Struthio camelus: one gene and its partners. The protein of the gene in region 2 binds, or shares a complex with, the protein of the main gene of each other region. Links are inferred from orthologs where the notes say so. Each region holds a gene or a part of one and is shown on either strand. Other genes may lie near its edges.

Region 1 (6,679 bases), on a different chromosome or scaffold from region 2:
GCCGCTGGGGGAGCCCTGGGCTTGGAGGGGGTCAGAGGGCTGTGTGGTGGTGACGAGGGGCCGCTGGGGGAGCCCTGGGCTTGGAGGGGGTCAGAGGGCTGCCTTGGGGAGAGGGGGATAACCCCTGCATGGCAGCCAGGCATCTGCCTTACCTGTGCTCCTTGGGGACAACGTGCTGCTTTCTCAGAGCAGTGCAGGCCCTGGCCTGGCTGTCAGCGATGGGAAAGCCGTGCAGGAGGGCTGTGTCTCCTTGCTCAGCCCCAGTCAGCCCTGCTGTTTGGCGTGTCCTTTCTGACCAGCCACCTCAGACTGGGTGCAGGGTCCAGGAGCGGGGCAAAGGAGAGCGATGCTGCGTCGCAGCATGCCCAAACCTGCTCCCATAGCACGGCCTGCCCAGGCCTGCCCATGAGCTGGTGTGCAGCTTTGGCGTGTGGCTTCCACTCACTTGTCCACCTTGACAAGTGTAAGCAACCTGCCTGGACTGTCCTCCTGTCTCTGCCCCGGGACTCATGCATCTTCCTCATCCCTGAATTTCTTTCCATCTGTTCCCTCAGGTTAGGGGCTGCTGTAAGGCTTAAGAGTGCGAGAGAGAGATTCAATCTGAGTCTGCTGCACGGTGAGAGACAAAAGGGGGGAGACAGCTTATTCATAAGAGCCCCAGCTTGCAGAATAAAGGCAGGAGGATGGCTCTGCATAGGAACCTGCAGGCCTCGCTGCTTGGGGTAGAGAACTGGCAGTCTCATTGCTACATATGTGCAACATAAGAGGAGCCAGGCAGGTTGTTCCCTGAGCTGGGCCTGGCTGCAGAAGCACAGAAACCAGCAGGCTCCTTTTTGGATTTACTCTGGATTTTCTCACTGTGGGGATCAGGAAGAGTTGGATTCTGTGTCAGTTGTGGCGTTTGTGTCTGGCCCTGCTGAGCTATACCCTCTGCTCCCCTTCCAGGCCCCAGGTGCTGGCTGTAGGGAAAGGCTGTGGTACGAGAGGTGACGCTGAGCCCCTCGGCTCCAGAGCATGAGCTGGCCTTGTCACTTGGGATGCCGGGGCTGAGGGCTTGTGCCCCTGGGAAAGGAAGATGCTCCAGACCAGTAATTACAGCCTGGTGCTGTTCCTGCAGTTTCTGCTGCTTTTCTACGACCTGTTTGTCAACTCCTTCTCTGAGCTGCTCCGCACAGCTCCTGCTGTCCAACTTGTCCTCTTCATGTGAGTGCCAGGCAGACCTAGAGGTGTGAGCGGGGGACAGGAGGGCTGGGGTCTCCCGTACCACAAGGGTGCTTACAACCTCTCTCTCCTCCTGCAGTATCCAGGACATTGCCATCCTCTTCAACGTCATCATCATCTTTCTCATGTTCTTCAACACCTTCGTCTTCCAGGCCGGTCTGGTCAACCTCCTCTTTCACAAGTTCAAGGGGACCATCCTCCTGTCAGCGGCCTACCTGGCACTCAGCATCTCTTTCCATGTCTGGGTCATGGTAGGCTGAGAGGGGTCCTGGGCTGCCAACTTTCCCCAGAGGACATGCAGACAGGGCACTGGTCCCCTTGCTTTGCTGGCCACAACCCCTGGCTCCCCTCAGCCCCTCTCCCACATGCTGGGCATCAGTGGAGGGCCAGAATCTCCCCCTGCACCTTTTGTCCTGCACAGTTTGGAAACAGCTGCTCCCCCGGGGGATTTGGGGAAGACTTAGCCTGCCTGTGTGAGCAGCTTTTCAGTAGGTGGGTGAGTGTGTCCAGGAAAGCTCTCTGCTCCCAAGAGGGCAGTGAAGGCAGGAGCAGTGGGGAATTTAGCTGTAGAGATGGGAGAGGTCTTCTCTCAGCCTCTGGCATGACTCCCCCTCCTCACTGCTCCTTGTCCCCCTGCAATTGCGCATGTGCCCCGGCCACGGTTTTTGGGCTTGTAGGCTGCAGCAGTGACGCAGCAGATGTTCCTGGGCCGTGCTCAGCCCAGGAGGCAAAGAGAGGTCATTTGAGAGGCAGGCACTGAGCTATGAGAAGCAGGGACTGGCCTCACAGTCTGCTCAGTACTTGCCCTGACTGGAAGGGAGCTGCCACATCCCAGCCCCCTCCCTGGTTGACCTGCTGGACAATCCTCTTTCCCCATGGAAAGCCCCCTGGCTCTGGCGCTGCGCTGGCACACACTGCTCTGGGTAATCCCCAGCCTGAAGGCCGTGACAGCAGCACCTTGTATTACCTGGGATTAATCTCCAGCAAATGCCAGCGCTCAGAGGCTGGCTGCAGCCCCCCATCCGCTGGCATCAGACAGCTCAGCAAGCTGTAAGGGTTCCCTGCTCATCTGAGAAGCATCTTTCCCTTCTGTCCCTGGCCTTAGCGCTCCCTTGTCCTCTGCCCCAGGCACCAGACCCCAAAAGTAGCAACCCACAACCCCACCTGGCCCCTGAGTACCCCCCTGCGTAGCCCCAGCTATTCTGGGCGTGGGGCAGGGACAGTGCCCCAGCTCCGAGGGTGCCACCCCCACCCCGCTACCAGAGCGCTATGGTGCCGAGGATAGTAAGCGCTCAAGGGGTGGGAGCTGCCCGAGTGTGCAGCCGGGCTTGCGCTGCCCACACACCACCCGGGCAGGGGATTGACAGGGATTTCCTGGGATCTGAAGTCTGAAGCTAGAATAGGTCCTGGCTCGCTGTCTAAATCCCTTGAGCTGCTTAACCTTTGGGGTAGGGCGCTGCTCCCGGCTGCACGCTGTCTCTCGGAGTCAGCCACCGTGCCCACGGGTTCTTGCCCAGGCAGAGAAGGATCTCGTTCTCCCCTGGTGGGGAGAGCCTCAAGGCAGCCACGGTCCGTAGGGTGCAGGGACAGCCTTCTCCTGCTGGCGTTCCCAGGGCACCGTGCTGGGGGAGCTAAAGGTGCAGGGTGCTGAACTCTCCCCGTCCCCAAGCAGTAATGCAAGGGTTATTTCTTGGCCCTGACGCCCCACACATTTGTCTGTCTGCCTCAGAACCTGCGGTGGAGAGAATCCAGCCGTTTCGTGTGGACCGAAGGCCTGCAGACGCTTTTTGTCTTCCAGAGATTGGGTAAGGGCTCACCTTCTCAGGGTGCTGCCTGCCTCACTGGCCATGCTGGGACAGCCCACAGCAGCCCTGGCATCCATGTCAGGGTGGTTGTGGGGGTCCTGTACCATCAGCGGAGGCCCCTGGACCGCCTCTGGGAGCGTGTGTGACGTAACTCCTCAGGGAGGGAGGTGGGGGTGGATGTTCCTGCCCGCCTGGCCCTCACCTCCCTCTCTCCACCAGCGGCTGTGCTTTACTGCTACTTCTACAAGAGAACCGCGGTGCACCTGGGCGACCCCCTCTTCTATCAGGACTCGCTGTGGCTGCGCAAGGAGTTTGCTCAGCTCCGTGGCTGACAGCTCTGCTCAGGCTTTCGGCTGCCTGTTGCCTCATCTCAGCATGCGCAGGCAGCTCCCGGGGTGAGCAGCGCCCTTGCACGCAGGATCAGCGTTTGCCCATGCCAGCTCTCCTGGGGTTCCTTCCATTCCTCCTCGTCTGTGGGCCCAGCCGCTGCCTTGCCAGGGATGGAGCCAAGAGGCCAGAGGGCTTGTCCAGGCCCTATGACTCCAGTCCAGACACATTCCTCCTCTTCCTTCTCTTCCTCCTTCTGGGGACCCATCCTTCCACCTGCTCCAGTGTGGCTCATGCTCCGGCAGCAGCAGGAGCTGCAGGATGCACGCTGCGGGCCCAGCCGTGCAGCAGGAGGGCTCTATCCCGGCATTACATCCCCTGCTGGGACTTAGTTTTTGTAAATTATAAAGAAATAAATTGGCTGTGTTTTCCAGCGGCTGTCGTGTGTCTGTGTGCTGCGGGCACCCCCAGGCCGCTCCTGCTCTTTTCTTGGACTGCGATGCCGTGTTGACAGCAAGCTTCCTTGAGTGACTGTTCTGGAGAGAACTGAACCAATAATGTTATTTACTCATTAGCAGGCCCTAGCTAGCTAGGCAGTGTGTTTTCAGTCACAAAACTGGGACTGTTTTCACCTTGCATCACCTCTCAGTGTCATGCAGGCCACTGGTCCCAACTGGGGATGCTCAGACTGAGGTAGAAGCAGTGGGGGCTCTGGGTGGCATGGGTTTATCCCCGAGCTGCGTTGGGCAGAGGGAGGAGGATCGTTCATGCAGTGCATAGGTGAGAGCTGGTGAGATGTGAAAGAGGGGGAGCGGAAGAGCAGGTTCCCCGTGTCCCGGTTGGGGACAAGGGCTGCAGGACATACGAGAAGGGCAGTGGCTCTGGGTGGCCAGGGGGAACATGGGAGCCAGCAGCTCACCCGTGAAAGCACAGTTTCCCTGCCAGTCTTTGGACTTCGGTAGGAAGCGCTTGAACAGAGGGAGCGCTGGAGCGGGGCCGCGGCTCCTGGTTCTCTGCCGCGAGCAGCCGCCGGCGCCGCGGCGAGCCCGCCGGGCCGGGGCCGCGAACCGGCGTCTCGGAGGTCCCCCAGTCCTCCCCGGCCATAGAGGGGGCGGCGAGAGCGGCCTGGCGCATGCCCCTCCGAGCGCTCCCGGGAGTGAGGGCGGCTGTGGCGGTCTCCATGGAGATGGAAGATGGCGCCCAGGAGTGAGTGCGGGGCCGGGCTGGGCCCGGGCGCCGGTGGGTGCGGCGGGAGCCGGGGACAGCGGGGCTGGGGGAGGCGGGAGGCGGCGGCGGGAGCCGGGGGCAGCGGGGCTGGGGGAGCCGGGGGGCGGCGAGAGCCGGGGGCAGCGGGCCGGGCCGCCCCCGCCGACGGCCGGCGTCTGCTCGCAGGCCGGCAGCGCTCCTCGGTGCCGCTGCAGATCCTGCTCTTCCTCAACGGCTGGTACTGCGCCACTTACTTCCTCCTGGAGGCCTTCATCTTCGTCTACAAGGGTGAGCCCGGCCCCCTCCCCGCCCCCCCGGCCCCCCCCTCCGTCCCCGAGGGCGGTGGCGGCCCACCCGCGGCCGTGCCAGCCCTGAGGGCGGCGGTGGCTGTGCCCGCAGTGCTGCTGTTGCCCTACCCCTCCGCCAACCTGGCGCTGGATGTGGTCATGCTCTTCCTCTACCTGGGCACTGAGGTCACCCGCATCTTCTTTGGTAAGTCCTGGGGTAAGCAGGCGGTGGGGGCCTGGCATGGGCGGCTGGGGCGCTCCAGCCTTGCACACCTCCAGGGCCCAAGCCCACGGTGGCTGGTGTTTGCTCAGGACCCCAGCAGGAAGTGCTGGGGCTGCAGCAGAACCATTTGCTGTGTCCCCCACGGCGGGGTCCTGGCCACAGATGAGCATGGACCCCGCTGGGAGCCTCAGTACCCTTGTGCTGCATGAGGTAGAGGTGAGGCCACAGTAACGTTGCGCTGTGCAGGCTCAAAGGGCAACCTGTGCCAGCGGAAGGTGCCGCTCTCCATCAGCTTGGCCCTGACCTTCCCGGCGGCCACGATGGCGGCCTACTACCTGCTGCTCCAGACCTACGCCCTGCGCCTGGAAGCCATCCTCAACGCCATCCTCCTGGTCTTCTATGCTGCAGAGCTGCTGCTGGGCATCCTCACGCTGGCCTCCTTCTCCAGGTAGTGCTGCAGCTGGAAGCCTGGCCACGTGGTGCAAGGAAGGAAATAACCTGCCCCCCAGCCCGGCACGGTGGGAACCAGGCAGGGCGAGCTGTGGGGTGCAGCCCCCGCCCTAGCCTGGGGGCCTGCTGCTGCCTGCTGACCCAGCCCCATCTCCCCTTCTCTGCAGCACGGATTCGTACTGAGGGCCAGCGCAACACGGTACGATGCCATTCCCGAGCGGCACAGGTACAAGGGACGGCAGGAAGCCCGCAGCCATGCTGACAGCTCCGTCGTCCAGCCCACACCCTACCCCCAGCTGGCCGTGGTGGGAGGGACAGAGATGTGCTGCCGGGCTGGCCCCGCTCCGGCGCGGTCGGGGCGCTGGGCCGAGCGCACGTTGGCGTCGGCGGGTGTCTGTGGCTCAGCCTGTGCCAACGGGCAGCTGCGGGGCAGGGCAGCCTCCACCCTGCGCGTTCCCCTCTACTCTGCCTGCAACACGTGCAAGTAACTCGCTGGGCAGCACCCGCCCTGCTGCCGTCTGGGACTCCAGCTCCACGTAGCAGGATCCGGACCCCTGGGCTTGTGACACGCAGGTCAGTTGGAGATACGGAGAATTACTTTTTCTACTGCAACCTCAGAATAATTTACTATTTTCCAATAAATATTTATTTTTACCTGGTGCCTGGGCATGTAGCTTCCCCCAGGGCTGTTTGGAGCCAGCGCAGGGGGCAGAGGGGCTGCACTTGCCTGCGTGGCCACATGCCGGCAGAACCAGTGCAGGAAGCCCTCACGCATGTTAGAGGTCAGGTACCGGTGGAGGCCAGGTACCGCTCTGCCTGCCCTTCTGGTAGCCCCAGCGCATCTGCCTCCGTCGCTGGCACCGGCAGCTCCAAGAGCCCTGCTCCGCTCTCGCCACTTGCCAGGAAGCAGCAGTATGAGTCATTCTGGTCCTCAGCTGCACAAATAAGCCAGGCCTGGGGAAGGCTGTGCCAGGGCCTGCATTAGCAGGGAGCTGTGCTCACCCCCGCCCCCCCCAAAAATCTCTGAGCCTGCCACCAGCACCCACCTGTGTGCACAGAGCACCCGAGGGAGTCTCCCAAGCTGCCCTTCCCTCCCCTGCAGCCTTGCACTGCACAGGGTCCATAAAACACCCCCTCTATTATTAGAACTTGTTACAAAG
Region 2 (7,797 bases):
GGATATTCAGCTTTGCTGTATAGAAGGTTTTCAGCTCTATTGCAAGCTAGTGTCATTTGCTTTTATAAGGCTTAGTTTAAAGTACTGTCTTTCTCCTTACTTTGGCAAATCAGCCAAAGTTATCTTATGGGTCTCAGGAGCTGTAGCTTGAGCTTTATGTACCTTTATGGTTTTGTCTAATCCTGTTGTTTGTTTTTCTCAGCTCTGAAAAAGGAATGCTTCTTAGGGATATTATAAGAATAAATTTGTAGTGTTTAAGTGATGAGATATGAGAATGAAGGCAATAGAAGTTCATGCTTAGGCTTTGCAGCTTTCCTTATTAGCCTTCTTGTCTTGACTGAGAATTATGCAACCTAATTTCTGGCTTAATCATAGAAGTTGTCTCTGCCTGAGCTTATTTGGTACTTGTGATTTGGATAACCAAACGGGAAATGTATGAGTTTGAAGTTGAAATCTGAAATTTTAGGCATTTCATTATGCTTAAGATCCCAAATATGGGGAAAGTGTAAGTGTGGAAACACTTGTGGGATGTTTCAGAATGAACATGAAATTTGCCTCAGAGGAGAGGAAGAAACAGTTGTGCAAGCGGGTCTAAAGCATTTCCTGGTTGGTTTGAGTCAAAAGTATTTGGAATAAACCACTTCTCTTCTGTCCCAAGAAGTATGGACGTGCCTGCTAATTTTCAAGGACTCGCCCCTGGGCAACCGTTAGAGTAGACAAAGCTTTTGCTCTGGACTAACAAATGGAATCAACTAATTTCATTACTTATGAAAATACTGATTAATCTTCCTTCATGTCTCATTTTTCACTTATAAACTTACAAATATTTATTTGCAGTTACATTTTTTTGTTAATTTGTTGGTTTTGTTCCTCTCCAGACACCACGCGTGTTCAGAAAAGCTATGAAATGAATGGTCGTGAATATCACTATGTATCAAAGGAAACTTTTGAAAACATGGTGTACACCCACAGGTAATTAGCAGTGACAAATTCCATTCTTGCCACTTAACATGGGAAAAAAGCTTTGTAGTTAGGCCTCGGGTTTGGTCTCCTCTCCTCATAGTTGCTATATATGTTTGATGTAAATTTTTTGTCAAATTATTTGAGGCTATAGCTTCAAAAGTTGTGCTTGTGCAGTGACAAACAAGGTCCTCTAAAATTAATCTCAGAGTCTTTCTAAGATAAAGTGTGATCTCCAAGTCCTGAGCTCATCTGATGTGATATTTTGAGTTGTGAGTTTAACCTTTCTTAAAACTGGACTGTTTTCTAAAATTGAACAGTGAGCCAGACCTATGCCATATGCACATCTTCACTGTGGGACCTCTGGAGTGATGACATCTCCATGTAGGCACCTGAGCTGTAACTTGCAAATGTCTGCTCACTTCTACACTTCAGTAATTCCTCCACTAAAACAGACCAGCTCAGCAGCAGAAGCAACACTCCTTGAGCTGTACAAAGTGTTTTGAGATCTTCTGATTATTAAATTATTAGTACTATATAAATTACAAGTGTTTTATCACTGTAAATAAATATAATTGAAGTTTCCTTATAGTTGTCTGGAGATTGACCAGAATTGCAACCTCTGAACACACAATTTGTCACAGCAAGATGGGTAAAAATGCATGTTTTGGGGATGTCCAGATTGGCTCTAATAGTCCTGCCTGTTATGCTCATTGTAGTGGGGGAGAGCAAAGGTGGAGGTTCTTCAATAATGTTTGTTATGTTTTATCATCATTCAGTCTTGATCACAGAGATTACACTTGCAGATTTCACCTGTAAATGGAACCTTTTGAGACTCAAGTGCTCTTTCATTTTTCTTTCTCCTCCCTCACTGCTATTGCAGAATGCTAGAATATGGGGAGTACAAAGGTTACCTGTATGGTACCAGTGTCGATGCAGTGCGAACAGTCCTTGATGAAGGGAAGATCTGTATAATAGATTTAGAACCACAGGTGAGTTGCAAAAGAGCAGGGAACCTGCAATTGGCATCTCCTGGAAGGAGGAAAAAAAAAAAAAAAACTCTGTACATTCTTGAGCTATTGGAATAGCATTAATTGCTCTGACTTGTCTTATTTTCACTTTAGCTTATGATGCTTATTAATAATAGAGTATTCTTTGAATCTGGTCTTAGTAGAAAAAAAAAATACTACAGTGATGGTTGATGGTAGAGACCTGTTAATGACAATGTTCAGTCATTCTCTGGAGTTGAAAGCCTCTCCTAATAAGGTTACCATGCAGAATTAAATGATCAGTGTGGCGCAGGTGCTTAATAATGTCTGGACCAGAGATTATTACTGAGGTCATGTTAAAGCAGGTGTTCTTGAATAAGATTACTGCTAGGTCTGGAGATAACAGTACTTTGTAAACAATTTGCTTTTTTTAATGGGAATAAAATGGGAGTGATTATGCTTGAAATGCTTTAATTTAACTTCTTTTTACTCTTAACTTGCAGGGCATTCAAGTAGCCCGGACTCATGAATTAAAGCCCTACATTATATTCATCAAGCCATCCAGCATAAACTGCATGAGGCAGTCTCGTAAAAATGCAAGGATCATTACAGATTATTATGTGAACATGAAATTCAAGGTGAGATTTGGAGGTGGAAGACGACAGCTGATTACACTGGGAATTTGTCATTAGAACATAATGCATTCTTTTACTATGTTAACACTTTAAAAGATTATTGTGTCTTCATGACTAGATCTGTGTGTGTTTTGGTTGTTTTTTCTTCCAGAATTGGAGTGGAAGGGTTATAATTCATACCTAGGGGACTGAGGCGTTGTCTCCAAAATGTCTTTAAAAGAGAGGCTGTTGTGTAAATGTCTGCTTTAATTAAACTGCCTTGTGACAAGATTTAAGTCAGCACATGTATTTGTTTGCATTGAAATATATGGAATGTGTTCCATTCAATGGTTTAATCAATTTTTTCTTATAGTTATAAGTACTTAATATAGATTATTTCATTAGAAATATACTCATATTTCATATAGATTATCATTGCTTAATGATAATATTGATGGCAATTCTATAGTGAATTCTGTAAACAAACAAGTTCTGCATATAGGAAATCTCTGTGCTGCATTCAGAATGAGTCTAGTGCATTTGTCACCATGGCTTCCATAAAAATCATGATCAAGTTTAGCGCCTTATAATTTCAGAGGCCTAAGTCCATAACTTTATATGGAAATGAATCATAACTGTTAAGACAGAGATGTGAATGTTGGAAATCTGATGATAAACTAAAATGCAGAGTAAGAGCACAACTGTTGCAAACCGAATTTGCCTGCAGTGCATAACATCCTCTGCTGGCACTTGTCAGTAAAGTAATCTTTGGGAGCAAATGAAAAATATACTGGAGCATACTGAGAGGTGAAATCTTTCACTGGGAAAGATGTGGCAGTCAGCTGTGTTCAGAAGCTCAGAACTGATTGTAGCATGCATACTCCACTGCTGATAGCGATTGTAAATGGAAATACTTTACACTGCGCTGTCTATTCGCCTCTTGTTTATTATAGCCCAAGGGGTTCTGCAGATGCCCTGCAGACGTGGTTCTGTGCCCAACGCTCAAACGTGATAGATTTGGTCGGTCTCTTGCAGGAAGAAGATTTACAGGAGATGGAAGAGTCAGCTAAGAAAATGGAAGCCCAGTTTGGTCAGTTCTTTGATCAAGTGATTGTGAATGATGATTTACAAGAAGCATCTGCACAGCTGTTATCAGCAGTCCATCGTGCACAGGATGAGCCCCAGTGGGTCCCTGCAATATGGATATGCTCAGACACTCAGCCGTAACTCTGAGAGGCTGCCAGCTTCACGAAGATTATAGCTTATGTTTTACCTCAGGAATAATCCTGATGTCGGGATTGCAAGAATTTATCTTTGTATGTGAGGATTTGGAAGAGGATTAGGAAAGAAGCTGCTGCAGGAGATATAATCGTACTATGTTCTGTGTAGCTCTCCCGCATGTTACAGTTTGATCCATTTTTGTACCAGAAAAAAAATTGTGAGGTGTCAATTACAAAAATAAAGAAAATTCTATTTTGTTTCATGTACCTGTATAATGTACTCAGCTACTGAAAGTTCCCCGCTTCCCTTCCTCTTAGGAGCATCCTGATATTGTGATACTTGCGTGTTCTGGGAGCCCCGCGGACAGATGATACTCTGTATGTATCCAAGCCAGGCAGCCTTTGCGCAGTGTTATTTATACAGGTGTCGGCCGGGTGCTTGTTCTTTTTCCGAGACAGAAGCAGAGTGGCGTTACTGTAAAAAAAAAAAAAAAAAAAAAAAAAAGACTCTCGAAACCACAGTTATCTTTGTAGTACGCGCCACATCAACCTTTTGTTCTTCTCTGGGTCCGTATGCTGGAGTGAGTAAAAGCTGGCAGCGGGAGCAGTGGGTTTAGCAGAGAGGGAAATGGAGCAGGAAAGCCTCTCCGCGTTGGTGCGGGCTGGGACGGCACGCTCTGCCGCTCCAACGGGGCAGCGAAGCAGCGGCCACCTTCCTCACTGCCCTCCTCTCCCGTTACAGGTGTGTGCCGGAGAAAGCCCCCGCGAGCGCCTTTACCACTCCGGAAAGACACCGCTCAGGTTACAAGCCCCAGCGAAGTCCCGTCCTGCGGCTCTCGCTCCGCCTGCTGCTTCTCCGCGTCAGCTCTAACGTGGGTAAGTGCGGGCGGCGGCTGCGCGCACTGCTGCCCGTCCCCCTCTTGCGGGCCGGCAGGAGGGCGGCAGGCAGCGGCGCGCCCCCAGCCCCGCCGCCCCGGAAGCCGGCGGCGGCTCCTCCCCGTGCGCCGCGGCGGCGGCGCGGAGCGGAGCGGAGCGGAGGGCGGCATGGCGGCGGCGGCGCGGGCGGGCCCCGGCCGGGTGAGGGCGGCGGCGGCGGAGCGGGCGGCGGGAGCCGTGGGCGCGCTGCTGGCGGCCGCTGGCAGAGCGACGTCCTTGCAAACCGGCGCTTCGTTTGGGGCGAGCGCTTTTGGGTCCTGAGGACTGGCGGCACCTCCGGTGGCATCTCTCCTGCGTGGCAGGATTGGGCCGAGGGCGCGGAGGCGCGTGGGCCGCCGGGCAGCGGCCCCCGCATGGTTCGCTTAGTAAGGGGCAGATGCCGTCGCTTTGCCGGTGCCTCGCGGGAGGTAACGGCACGCGTTACGCTGCTGCGCGGCTGCTCAGTGCTGCGCAGGTGTTCCCAGGCTTTAATTTCCAAAAGTTCTGACTATGCTTTAAAAAAAAAAAAAAAAACCCTAATAATTGCTGCTGCAAAAGCATAGGAAGCAATAAAGCAGTGAGCTCTGAGCTGAAGTTTTATCCATTCGTTTCCCTCCCTCGCTGTGCCCGTGTGTGCGGTGCTGTTCAGGGGGTGCCCGTCTCTCCCTCTGCAAATGGCACCAAAACCCAGGATAGAGACGTGAGGCCCGATCCTGCAAACCTTTCCTTGCACAGGGTCTCACGTTTGCATCGCCTAAACAAACCCGAGTGAAAACCACTCGCTTTACCAGCGCATCGAGTCACGGGTTTCTTAGTGCAGGTGACATTAAGGACTTGTATCATGGAAAACTCCCGCAGCAAATTGCCATTGATTCAAATGGGAGTAGTCCTGGGCCCTAGCCCGGGGACAGGAAGGTTCACCTCCAGCTAATCCTGGCTGCGAGAAGTTTATTTTTAGTTGAGAATTAGCTGAGGTTCAGAGTAAGCGGCGTGAGGAGCAATTCACAGTTCACAGTGCCTCTTTCAGGGAACAGCTTCAAATGATATGGGAAAGAAACAAGTGGTAAGTTTGCAGATTTTTGAGCCATTGATCTCAGTCTTTTTCATTTCTTTTCTTTATTTCTAGTTGTATTTTGGAGTGTGGCAAACATTTCTTCCTCTATATTCTTCCGGTGCAATTATATAACACAAAATCTGAAAGTAAGCTGCCTGCCTTTTCCTAGGTGAGAGAGAATTATCTGGTTTGTGAGAGCTGGCTTTCAGATTGTTAACAAGGGATACTTATTTTTAGATTTTAGTTATGTTTGATCTCCTGGTAAATATGAAAGTTTTTTATCATATTAAAAAAGTTCTAATAAATAAGCTTATTTCCTTTTTATTGCTCATTACTGAATGTTCTTGTTTTGTAATTCTGCGTTTACAGCTTCATTAGTTTAAAAAAAAAACCCCTCAGCTCATGATATGTAGTGTGCAAGTATATTGCTATTAAATTATTGCAGTGGGTTAATATTTAAATGAAATGACTGATAAACTTTCTTGTGAATTCAGTATCGTATATGAAACGCAAAAATTCTTCAAGCGAACTTTAAATGCAAGCTGCACCTCATATATGCCTATTAGGTGCATGTCCCTAATGTAATACCCATCCAAATTCAGGTAAAAGCATCATATTATTCCTCAGTAGTACTGTGCACTTCTATGTAGCCTCTTCATTTGGGAGTCTCTCCATATTTTCACTTGCATTTACTTATGCGTGAGATGTTCATAGTGTGGTTTCGGGAGCATGAGAAGCTAAACCTACCTAGCATATTCTGACCATACCTGGAAATAGCTGTTTTCTGTGATGTGGTTTAACAGGTACTCAGGAGAGAGGTGATTTTGCACTGACAGAAGTTGTTTTTTGCCTCTGTCTCTTCTCTTGCAGTGCCCTCCTCGTGCCCTCCCTCCAGTGCCAAGGTAAGATCAGTTCACTTTACGGAACTGATAGGAGTTGTGTACTGCAGTGGTCTTTAAAGGTGATGAAATGAAAAAACAAAAAACTTGATGAACGTCTGAGTAGTCGTGAAGGCTTTAAAAATGTTGCATTTTCTTGCTAATTTGCTGTCCCAGAACCCCTTACAAAGGCTGTAAAAGCATTTTAAAGTTTTACAGGAGGTGAGAAACTTTATTATATAACTTCATTTATTGTTACTTGGAGAAGTAATCCTATTAAAAAGTCTTGGACAGGCGGTTGCCTCAGGTTTATTAACATCTACTGCAGTTTTATTAATGTTCCTCTTTTCAATCTGCTTTTCTCCTCTTCCTTCCTTCCCTGTTTCTTCATAATCTCTTGTATATTTGAATCATAACAGAAACTTTTAAAATAAGATTAGGTGTTCTTGGATAGGCTTGTAGGTGCATAGCAGTATGACACAGTTTAGAGAGAAATACGGGCATGTCATTTTCAGCATCCGAGTGGATAGTGCAGAAGGAAAGGCAACTATATAGGCTTTGTGGCATAGTACATCAGAAGTCCTTCAAGGTATCTGAAGGCAAATTTGGTGTTTATGATCACGTATAAAAGCTGCGTTCCTGTTTTTAGTAACATACACGTGCAAATGTTTCATAACTTCTTTTGTTAGTCTGTTACATGTCAGACAGTGAGGCAAGTTGTAATTAAACAGCCAGGTGATTAAAGCTTTTAATCTGATCTGTGACTTAACCAATCAAGAAACTGTATGCAGTCATGAACAAACTGTTGAATCTTGATGATTGTTTAGTACCCTTAACTCTGTTGTATGGAATTGCTCATAAAAAGAAACAGGGAGTGGGGGTGAGGGAATGAATCACAAACAAAACAAAAAAGGCAGGTGTGAATTTAACACTGTTGTGAACTGTGATTGATTCAAAACTAATTCTCTTCTTTGTTCCTTTTACGCTGCTCTTCTGCACTTTCCCCTTTAAATATGAAAATGAAGTGGAAGCCAAGGTGAGTTATTTTAACATTAAAGAGAATTACAAGCTTTAATAATTCCTTTTGATGTCACTTCATCCTCCCTGTAAAGTTTGGTCCCTGTACTTTTCCGCGGTGCAGGTTGATAATTATTTAAGCTGCCTAGG
Region 3 (7,375 bases), on a different chromosome or scaffold from region 2:
GTTTGTGTAAGTGAGAATATGGCTCAAAATTCATCCATTTACAGTACCTCCTTCTGTACCATATAGTCCTTTAGTACTTCTGCAAAACAAACAGTAAAACTGGTTTAACAGCAGCACCAGCTTTGAGTTTCCCAACGTGCTTTATAAAACTAAAAATCGCCAAAACAAAACAAGCTAGGAAACGGTTTTAACTAAATGCCAAGTACAGCAAGAAGAAAATCAATTCATGGGAGCAAGTAATAGCTTTTTTTTCCCTACTGTCTTTATGCTTAAGACTAAAATAGCCAAGATATATTTAATGCATGGAAGGACTGCAGCTATATATAATGCTTGAAATAGGGGCCTCCAATAGGTCTCATCAGCAGCAATAATTGTTTACCAGACACAAAAATCCTCTAGGTGTTAAACGAACACCAGGGAGTAGCATTCAAGTGACATGGAGAAAAGATTGTCCTAGGGTACCGCAAGCCAGGCGCACAGCTGTGAAATTGCTCTGGCAGACACTGTCACAGCTAATAACGTGATCCTTTCAAACACAGAGAGTCCTCATGGCATTTGTAATTTGTTAAAATTCCCAATCTGTCACTTCTTTCTGAGAACAGAAGGAGAAAACAAGCCTATACTCTGCTTGTCTGTGCATACCTCTGTTCACCAGCACTTTTTACATGTTTTACAGGATTTCTATTAAAACACTGGGCAGGTATTAAAGGGCAAGCAAAGGGAAGAATGATTTCTGTTGCTTGCATGCTTATAGCTATCTAAGGGGCAGTAGCGCAGGCATGCCAGGGAAAACAACATTTGTGAGATTCCAAACCAGCACATTCAGAAATACAGCAATTGCGATTCAGGTGGAAAGATAAACCATTGGCACCATTTAAATGAACTCTGTGTTTCTGAAATGCCAGCTGTAAAAAACTGCTGATATTTAATTTCGTTAGATATACTGCATCTGGTGTTTATGGCTTAGTGCTGTTGCCAGAGAGCCCCAGGAGCTTCGGTCTGGGAGCCAAGCCAGTGTCTACCAACTTAGTTGGACTACTGTGGATACACAAAGATCCAATATTCCTCTGATTTAAAGCTTTCAGGCAGATTTTCAGTGACTTTTGTTTTATTTATAGTTAGCATGTGCCGAGAGAAATAAAACAGTCACTTAATATGCTGCACAACTATGGGTTTATTTCCTCCAGTTTCTCATTTCAGTAGCTTATTTTGAAGCCTGGAGAACTGGAAATCTGTCTATTTCTACCTTAAGCACTCATAGGTGGATAGACACAAAGGAATTCAGTAACGGAATGCCTTTCCGTTAAAAAATAAAAAGCCAATATACAACTTTATTATAAAACTTGGATACTTACACTATTTATACAGATGGCCATCATAACTGTTATAGTCACACACGGCTAAGCGTTTTTCTTTCTGTCACCCCTTATAGCATATATTTATAAGCTTCTGTTATATGAAGCTTTGATTTATCAATGCAGATACCCTGGTGTTCTGATACTTAAAGGGTTTCAGATTATTTTCTGCTTGAAACTGCTCCCTAAAAAACCCTAAAAAAAAAAATCAGAGGAATTCTGTTCATTACATTGACAATAAATGCACGACTCAGCCTGAAGAAAATTAAGCAGGATTAGCAAAACAAAAAGCATATTCCGTCTTCAGGGAGTATTTTAAGCGTCTGAGCGGACACCAAAACACGAAATAAAAATGTGCACAATTTTATTTTGCGGGGACGTGTGGAATGCTCGGCCATCTGCTATAAACGTGAGGCTGCCAAATATCACAGATTCACACCTTGAGTTTGGAAATTGAGTTCACATGGCAAATCCAGGCATTTCTTGTGGTATCTGCATTCCATCAGCCTTTCCTTTACCTGCTACTCAGTTTCACACTTCACTGACTGTTAAGCTGGATTGCTTCACAGTTTTGAAAGTGCAGAGCCCAATTTTACCAAGTTCCATTGACTGCCATAGAGCTGCTCACAGGACACCCGACTGTATGCTTCATAGGTTTTCAGAATGGGGGAACGTAAGAAAATCAGTTTGGGAGATCAGGGCCCCTGCTCAAAGCCACTGGCAACAGGAAAGGAACAACACTGTGCATTCTAGGAAAAATTCCTCCTTCCATTCTGAAAAAGTAATCAAGAGGAAAATCCTTAAAGGCTGAACTTTAACAGGCCACCAGCTTATACTATGAAAAACCCTGCAACTTCCATGAAGATCTTCCTTAATCAAAACCCAACCACGCTTTTAATTCATATACACCTGTTCCTTGGGTGTAATTAACTGAGAATATGGGAATAGTGCACCCCTAATCGGAAGGGTGTGAAATAGATTAGGACCAAGGCAACAACAATAAAACAGGGTTTCAGGCAACTTGATTAGAAATCTTGCACGGATTCATCATCTTGCCACTGTCTATAGCACAACTTTACAGCAAGAGGTGCAAGATGATGCAAAAAGCACTCAAAAATCATTTGTTGAGTCTGGTAGGAAACCTGTTTCTAGCACCTACTGGCAACTGGCAAAATAACAAATACAGATTGCATTTCTTAAACGTTCAGCAACCTACCTAACACTTTTTTTCCACGTTGCCGTAAATGTTAAAGAGAGCTTTAAACCCTTCTAGTACTGTACTTGGTAGTCAGCTAATTAGCAGGCACACAGGCACAGATTTTAGTCATTGAAACTATGGTATACCTCCAGTGCCTTCACAGCTCTGAGCTTTGGGGTCCATGTCTGGCTGGGACACAAGACTGTTGGTATGTCTACTCCATCAAATAGGCCAGCTCACTCAGGCACCATTGTCAGTATGCCTACAATAAGACAGAGCTCAAAGTCAGATACAGTCAGGTCAAAGGAGCTGGACAAATACTCATTTTGCCTTTGCTAGATTATTTCCCTGCAGAGCTGTCCTAGCAGCAAACCTGAGCTAGCTAGCTCAAGGCTAGTCCAGGCAGCCTTGCTGAGCTGTGGTCAGTGCTGTACAGACAGAGCTACATTATCTTTTTTCTTTTGTTATTTTGTAAGGAATATCTTACATTTAATAGCATATCTGCCTTCTTGTGCCCAGGACCTGTTTTAAGTTTTGCATCCCTTTCTGTAGGATTCAACAGAAACTGCATACAGCATTGCACAGGATTAAGCTTCTGTTTTGTCTTATCTGTAGCATCACCTACCTTTTAAGCTTCATTTTCTAGGAGTACTTCCACAGCAAAGCCTGCTGCCTTCCTTGCCTGTTAGGGGACATGCACAGCATCCCTTGAAATTCTGGGATCCTTCCAGAATTCTGGATTCCTCGAGACCCTTCTCCCCTCCAACCTGCGGCAATTATTTAAAAATCACTTCACCTCTTCTGAAGGACCCAAGTTTTTTATGTAGGTCCCTGCTGGCATACATCTGTTTGGGGAAGCTCTTTGAAAAGTATCTGTTGTGAATACTACATCATTCATCAGCACTAAACCAAACGTATTTCTCAGAACTCATGTTTTTCATCTGTCTCTGGGGTTCTCCCAGTGGAATAGGGCAAAATTAAATTTAAACTAGGCTTTAAATTATTTAGTCAGAGATAATTGAGCTTGGAAAGTCATACTAGAGAATGAGCACCCAGGGAAGTAGCTAAATATGATTTTTGGAAGGAGAAGGGAAGGGAGTCGCCACGTCACATTAGGTACATAAAAATCACAAAAGTTCAAAAGTTATCAGCCCTCGTAGGAAAGGGCACAAGTTGCTCTTTTGTTCTGGTCAGGCAGAACATAATTTCCTCCAGGCTTACAAAACGCATCCTTTCTCCTCAGAAGGAGCCAGGCCCTAAGTGTTCTGAAAAATCCTGGTGACAGATTACAGCATTATTAGGGTTCAGGCACAAAGTACCTATACGTTCAAAATAAAACAAGAGCTTTTCTTACTGCCCAGGAAGACTTCCTATAAGGCATAAAAGCTAACTGGAATTAAAAGGCTCTGCTGATATCACCACTACTTTTAACTCAGCTGTGCCACAAACAGGTTTCTTCGAGGAAAGGATATTTTCTAGCTGAGTTTTACCTCGATCTATCATAAAACCAACGCTGTATGATAGCCACTCAAAACAATACCCACTCTGAGGAATTAAATAGCTCCAACAATGTCCACCCTTACTCCACTTCTCCCTCCCTAGTTATCACTGAACACTACGGATCCCCTGAATTTACCCTCATAGAGATGGAAAACAGCCCTGCTCAGGAGGGAAGCAACCGCCTGCTGAAACAACCTTTTGTAACCGTGATTTAAAAAAAAAAAAACAAATTAATAATAATAATAACGAGCCGTGCCCAAACAAACTAGAAAAAACATATCCACCCACACGCCAGCGCCTCCCCCCGCCGAGCGCCGTCCTGAGGCGGCCAACGGACGCGCCGCCGGCCCCACTGCGCCTGCGCGCCGCCCCGTCGCCACAGTAACGGCGGGCCGCGGCGCCGCAGCATGTCGCTGCCCGAGCCCCTGAGGAGGCGGCTCGGCTCCTTTAGCCGCACTGTCTTTATCGACAGCAGCCGCCGCAGCGGCCCGCAGTCCCCGGGCAACAGCGCAGGTAAGGGCGGTGGCGGCTGGCCGGGCGTCGTGCCAGCGACAGACATGGCGGCGGGGGACAGCGCCCGCCGAGGGAACGGTGCCGAGGCGCGCGGGGGAGGGGAGGGGCTTGCCAGGAATAAAGATGGCGGCACCAGCCGACGCCTAGAGGCCGTTGGGGCGGGGCCGCGCGCCCACGGCCGTTACGCGGTGTCTCCGCTCTCCTGAGGGAGGGCCGGCGCGGGCCTGGCGGTCTCTACGTGGTCTCTGGTTTCGCTGTCGATGATGTAGTGTAACTTAATGGGTGTTTTCTGGAGTAAAACAACAGCGGCCGTAATCTTTCCCCCTGCACTTAACGTGCTTCAGTGGCGCAGGGTTAAGACTGGCTTCCCGGGCACTTAAAATATTAAATGCGCAACAGTCTGATTTAAAAGCAGCTCCGCACGACCCTCTGCACCCACCTTTACAGCTCAATAAGCGAGTCGGCATAAAATATGACCGATAAAAGACACCAATACTACACACTGTACACTCCACCTATACGAAATTAAAACGTAGTAATGATTTTATAGAGAACCTTGAGAACAAATAAAAGACGGGAGCTATTGTTTTAAGCCCAATAGTCCTACGCAGAGTTAGGACACCCACCGGACGCTCAGAGCAGAAGGAGACGAACCAAGCAAAAACCCAGACCTTCAACCTTCTTCTTGCAGCTCTTACCAATAAGGACCGATAGCTTCGTCACCTTGCTAGTGAAACCTGCAGGATGATAAAATAAAGCAAAAAGCTATTATTATTTCAAGAGAACCCATTTTGTTTGTGTCGTTAGACCGGTCTATCTATAGTGCTAGCACTTCCTCGTTTAGCCAGATCAATTCCTAATTACAGCTACCAAGCACCACTGAGACGCTTTTCTTAACTCCAGGAATAGCTTCTTATTTTAATCATTTATTTTACCTTTTCTTTCTTGAAAACTCCTACATGAATGTCCAGCCCATTGAAACCAATGGTAAATAGACCATTAACCTCTTTGAGGTCCTGTTTTTGAATCTTAAGTCTACACATACATACTTTAGTGAGTTGCCCTGGTGCCAAGGGGCCACTGGGTTACTGTCTGGCATTTCCACATATTTTTACAATCCCAAAAAGTAAACAGTAGTTCGATTTAGGTGTAGAAAGATGAATTAGACTTGGCTTATATTGCTAAACATTCATCCAAAACACAGTCTTAAAACTTGAGAAGAAGTTACCAGTATGCATGCCTTGTCACTAAGACCTAAAAGTACCCAAAACATTCTCACTGGCTTTTTTTGAATAACATTACATTTTCATCTAATGGGACAGAAACACAGTTGGTTATAATTAGATAGTCTGATTTTTTGAAAGATAAAACAGTGTTTTAGAATTGCATCTCAGTGCCTCTACAATCCATGGTTAGTACCCTAGATCTGGTATTTAGGGATTCATTCATTAGAACAGCTGACAGTTCCTCGGACAAATTTAGGTAGACAGTAAAACTGCTTTGAGGTACCTATAGATTTTCATTCCATGCAGATGTAGGAGAGTGTTGATATTTAAAAATGGGATTATTAAAAATATTGGTTGTCTTGCACCTTCTGTTTCAGTATAGCAAATCCTCGCCCATCAAACCCTACCCTTAAGGTTTGTCCCAGTTCTGTCCCCAAATCCTCCTCCCTTCCCACCTAGCCCAGTAGCTACCATGAACACTTCTGCAACTGGCATAAAGACTTCTGGAACAGACTGTACCAGGCTGCATGTGGTGGAACGGGGAACAGGGATGACAGACTGAGATGGAACAAAGACAGGTATGAGAATGGTTGGAAGATATGACAAGAGATGGCATTATCAGAAGAGAGGTGGTTCTGAAGTCAAAGGTGAACAAAACATGGCTGATAATCTGAGTTTCAATTGAATATCACCATGGTGGCACGCTGGGGCACGGGACTTAGATACAAAACAGCAGGTCCAGAGCAGCAGCTCACAATGAAATCTTTCTAAACTTGCTCAGGTAGTACCAAGTGAAGATTTGTCTGCAAACTGCATTTAGGGAAAACGTGAGAAAAGAGACTGTTGGTAATTGAAGTAAATTGCATGCGACATCGGTTAACTAGACTGTGGCAATAAAACTTAGTCCATTAAAAACAAACAATTCTCTTGGGATGCCCTGGTAAGTTTTTCTTTGTTTGAGTTTAATCTTCTAAATCTATGGCTAAGTCCTAATTTTAGAATTTACAGCCTGCCTAGTGTTATGCAGTTCAATATTTTTTTCTTTGCATTGTGTCAACTTATCCTTTAAAGTCTGGAGAGACGGAAATAAGTTTGAGTTTGATACGTATGACGAACTGTTAGCTCCAAAGAAGTAAAAGAATTACTGTCATCTTGCAGTGTCACTGTGTATTCAAATGTCTATCTTAAATAAAGATTCAAAATGGAGAGTGGGCATTGCAAACCTGCTCTCTAGCAGCAAGTCTGTACCCAGGAGGGTCAGATACAAAACGAGAATAAGCCATAAGTGTATTCATTTAAACTTGGGACATTTTCTTAGAGAACAAAAATAAAATTGGCACTTACTATTTCTACAATGTCAGGATACACTACTACTTGAACAAAGCCTATCAATTTAGTTCAGAGACTGTTGATTAGCTGGTGGCTTATGATTTACTCCACAGTCAAACACTTGATTTGAATTTATAACTAAGGGATCAAAATTCTATATCCTGTGAACTGAAAGTTACATTAGATCCTGGGAAATGGTGTAACCCAAAATAGGGCAGAGTTTTTCCTCTGGGTCTCTGAAAATGCCATTCTTA

What was found. Proteins that work in one complex are often made in the same cells at the same time.
Region 1: TMEM237 (region 2) and TMEM216 share a complex: the UniProt entries of both Homo sapiens proteins name them as parts of the tectonic-like complex. The link is inferred for Struthio camelus from reciprocal best matches to the Homo sapiens genes TMEM237 and TMEM216.
Region 3: TMEM237 (region 2) and TMEM17 share a complex: the UniProt entries of both Homo sapiens proteins name them as parts of the tectonic-like complex. The link is inferred for Struthio camelus from reciprocal best matches to the Homo sapiens genes TMEM237 and TMEM17.

Annotation. Positions count from the first base shown.
Region 1 is NC_090946.1:3,982,640-3,989,318, forward strand, and holds TMEM216 (transmembrane protein 216), read left to right. Parts: upstream 1-4,526; 5' UTR 4,527-4,546; coding exon 4,547-4,592; intron 4,593-4,745; coding exon 4,746-4,847; intron 4,848-4,958; coding exon 4,959-5,051; intron 5,052-5,315; coding exon 5,316-5,517; intron 5,518-5,686; coding exon 5,687-5,702; 3' UTR 5,703-6,173; downstream 6,174-6,679. Other genes in the region: TMEM138 (transmembrane protein 138), read left to right, coding at 1,076-1,203, 1,301-1,472, 2,951-3,026, 3,246-3,358. UniProt on the Homo sapiens protein: Part of the tectonic-like complex which is required for tissue-specific ciliogenesis and may regulate ciliary membrane composition.
Region 2 is NC_090947.1:10,247,626-10,255,422, forward strand, and holds the start of TMEM237 (transmembrane protein 237), read left to right. Parts: upstream 1-4,792; 5' UTR 4,793-4,827; coding exon 4,828-4,860; intron 4,861-5,725; coding exon 5,726-5,761; intron 5,762-6,622; coding exon 6,623-6,654; intron 6,655-7,655; coding exon 7,656-7,666; intron 7,667-7,797. Other genes in the region: MPP4 (MAGUK p55 subfamily member 4), read left to right, coding at 879-972, 1,844-1,952, 2,453-2,587, 3,599-3,790. UniProt on the Homo sapiens protein: Component of the transition zone in primary cilia. Required for ciliogenesis.
Region 3 is NC_090944.1:140,245,706-140,253,080, reverse strand, and holds the start of TMEM17 (transmembrane protein 17), read left to right. Parts: upstream 1-4,369; 5' UTR 4,370-4,460; coding exon 4,461-4,566; intron 4,567-7,375. UniProt on the Homo sapiens protein: Transmembrane component of the tectonic-like complex, a complex localized at the transition zone of primary cilia and acting as a barrier that prevents diffusion of transmembrane proteins between the cilia and plasma membranes.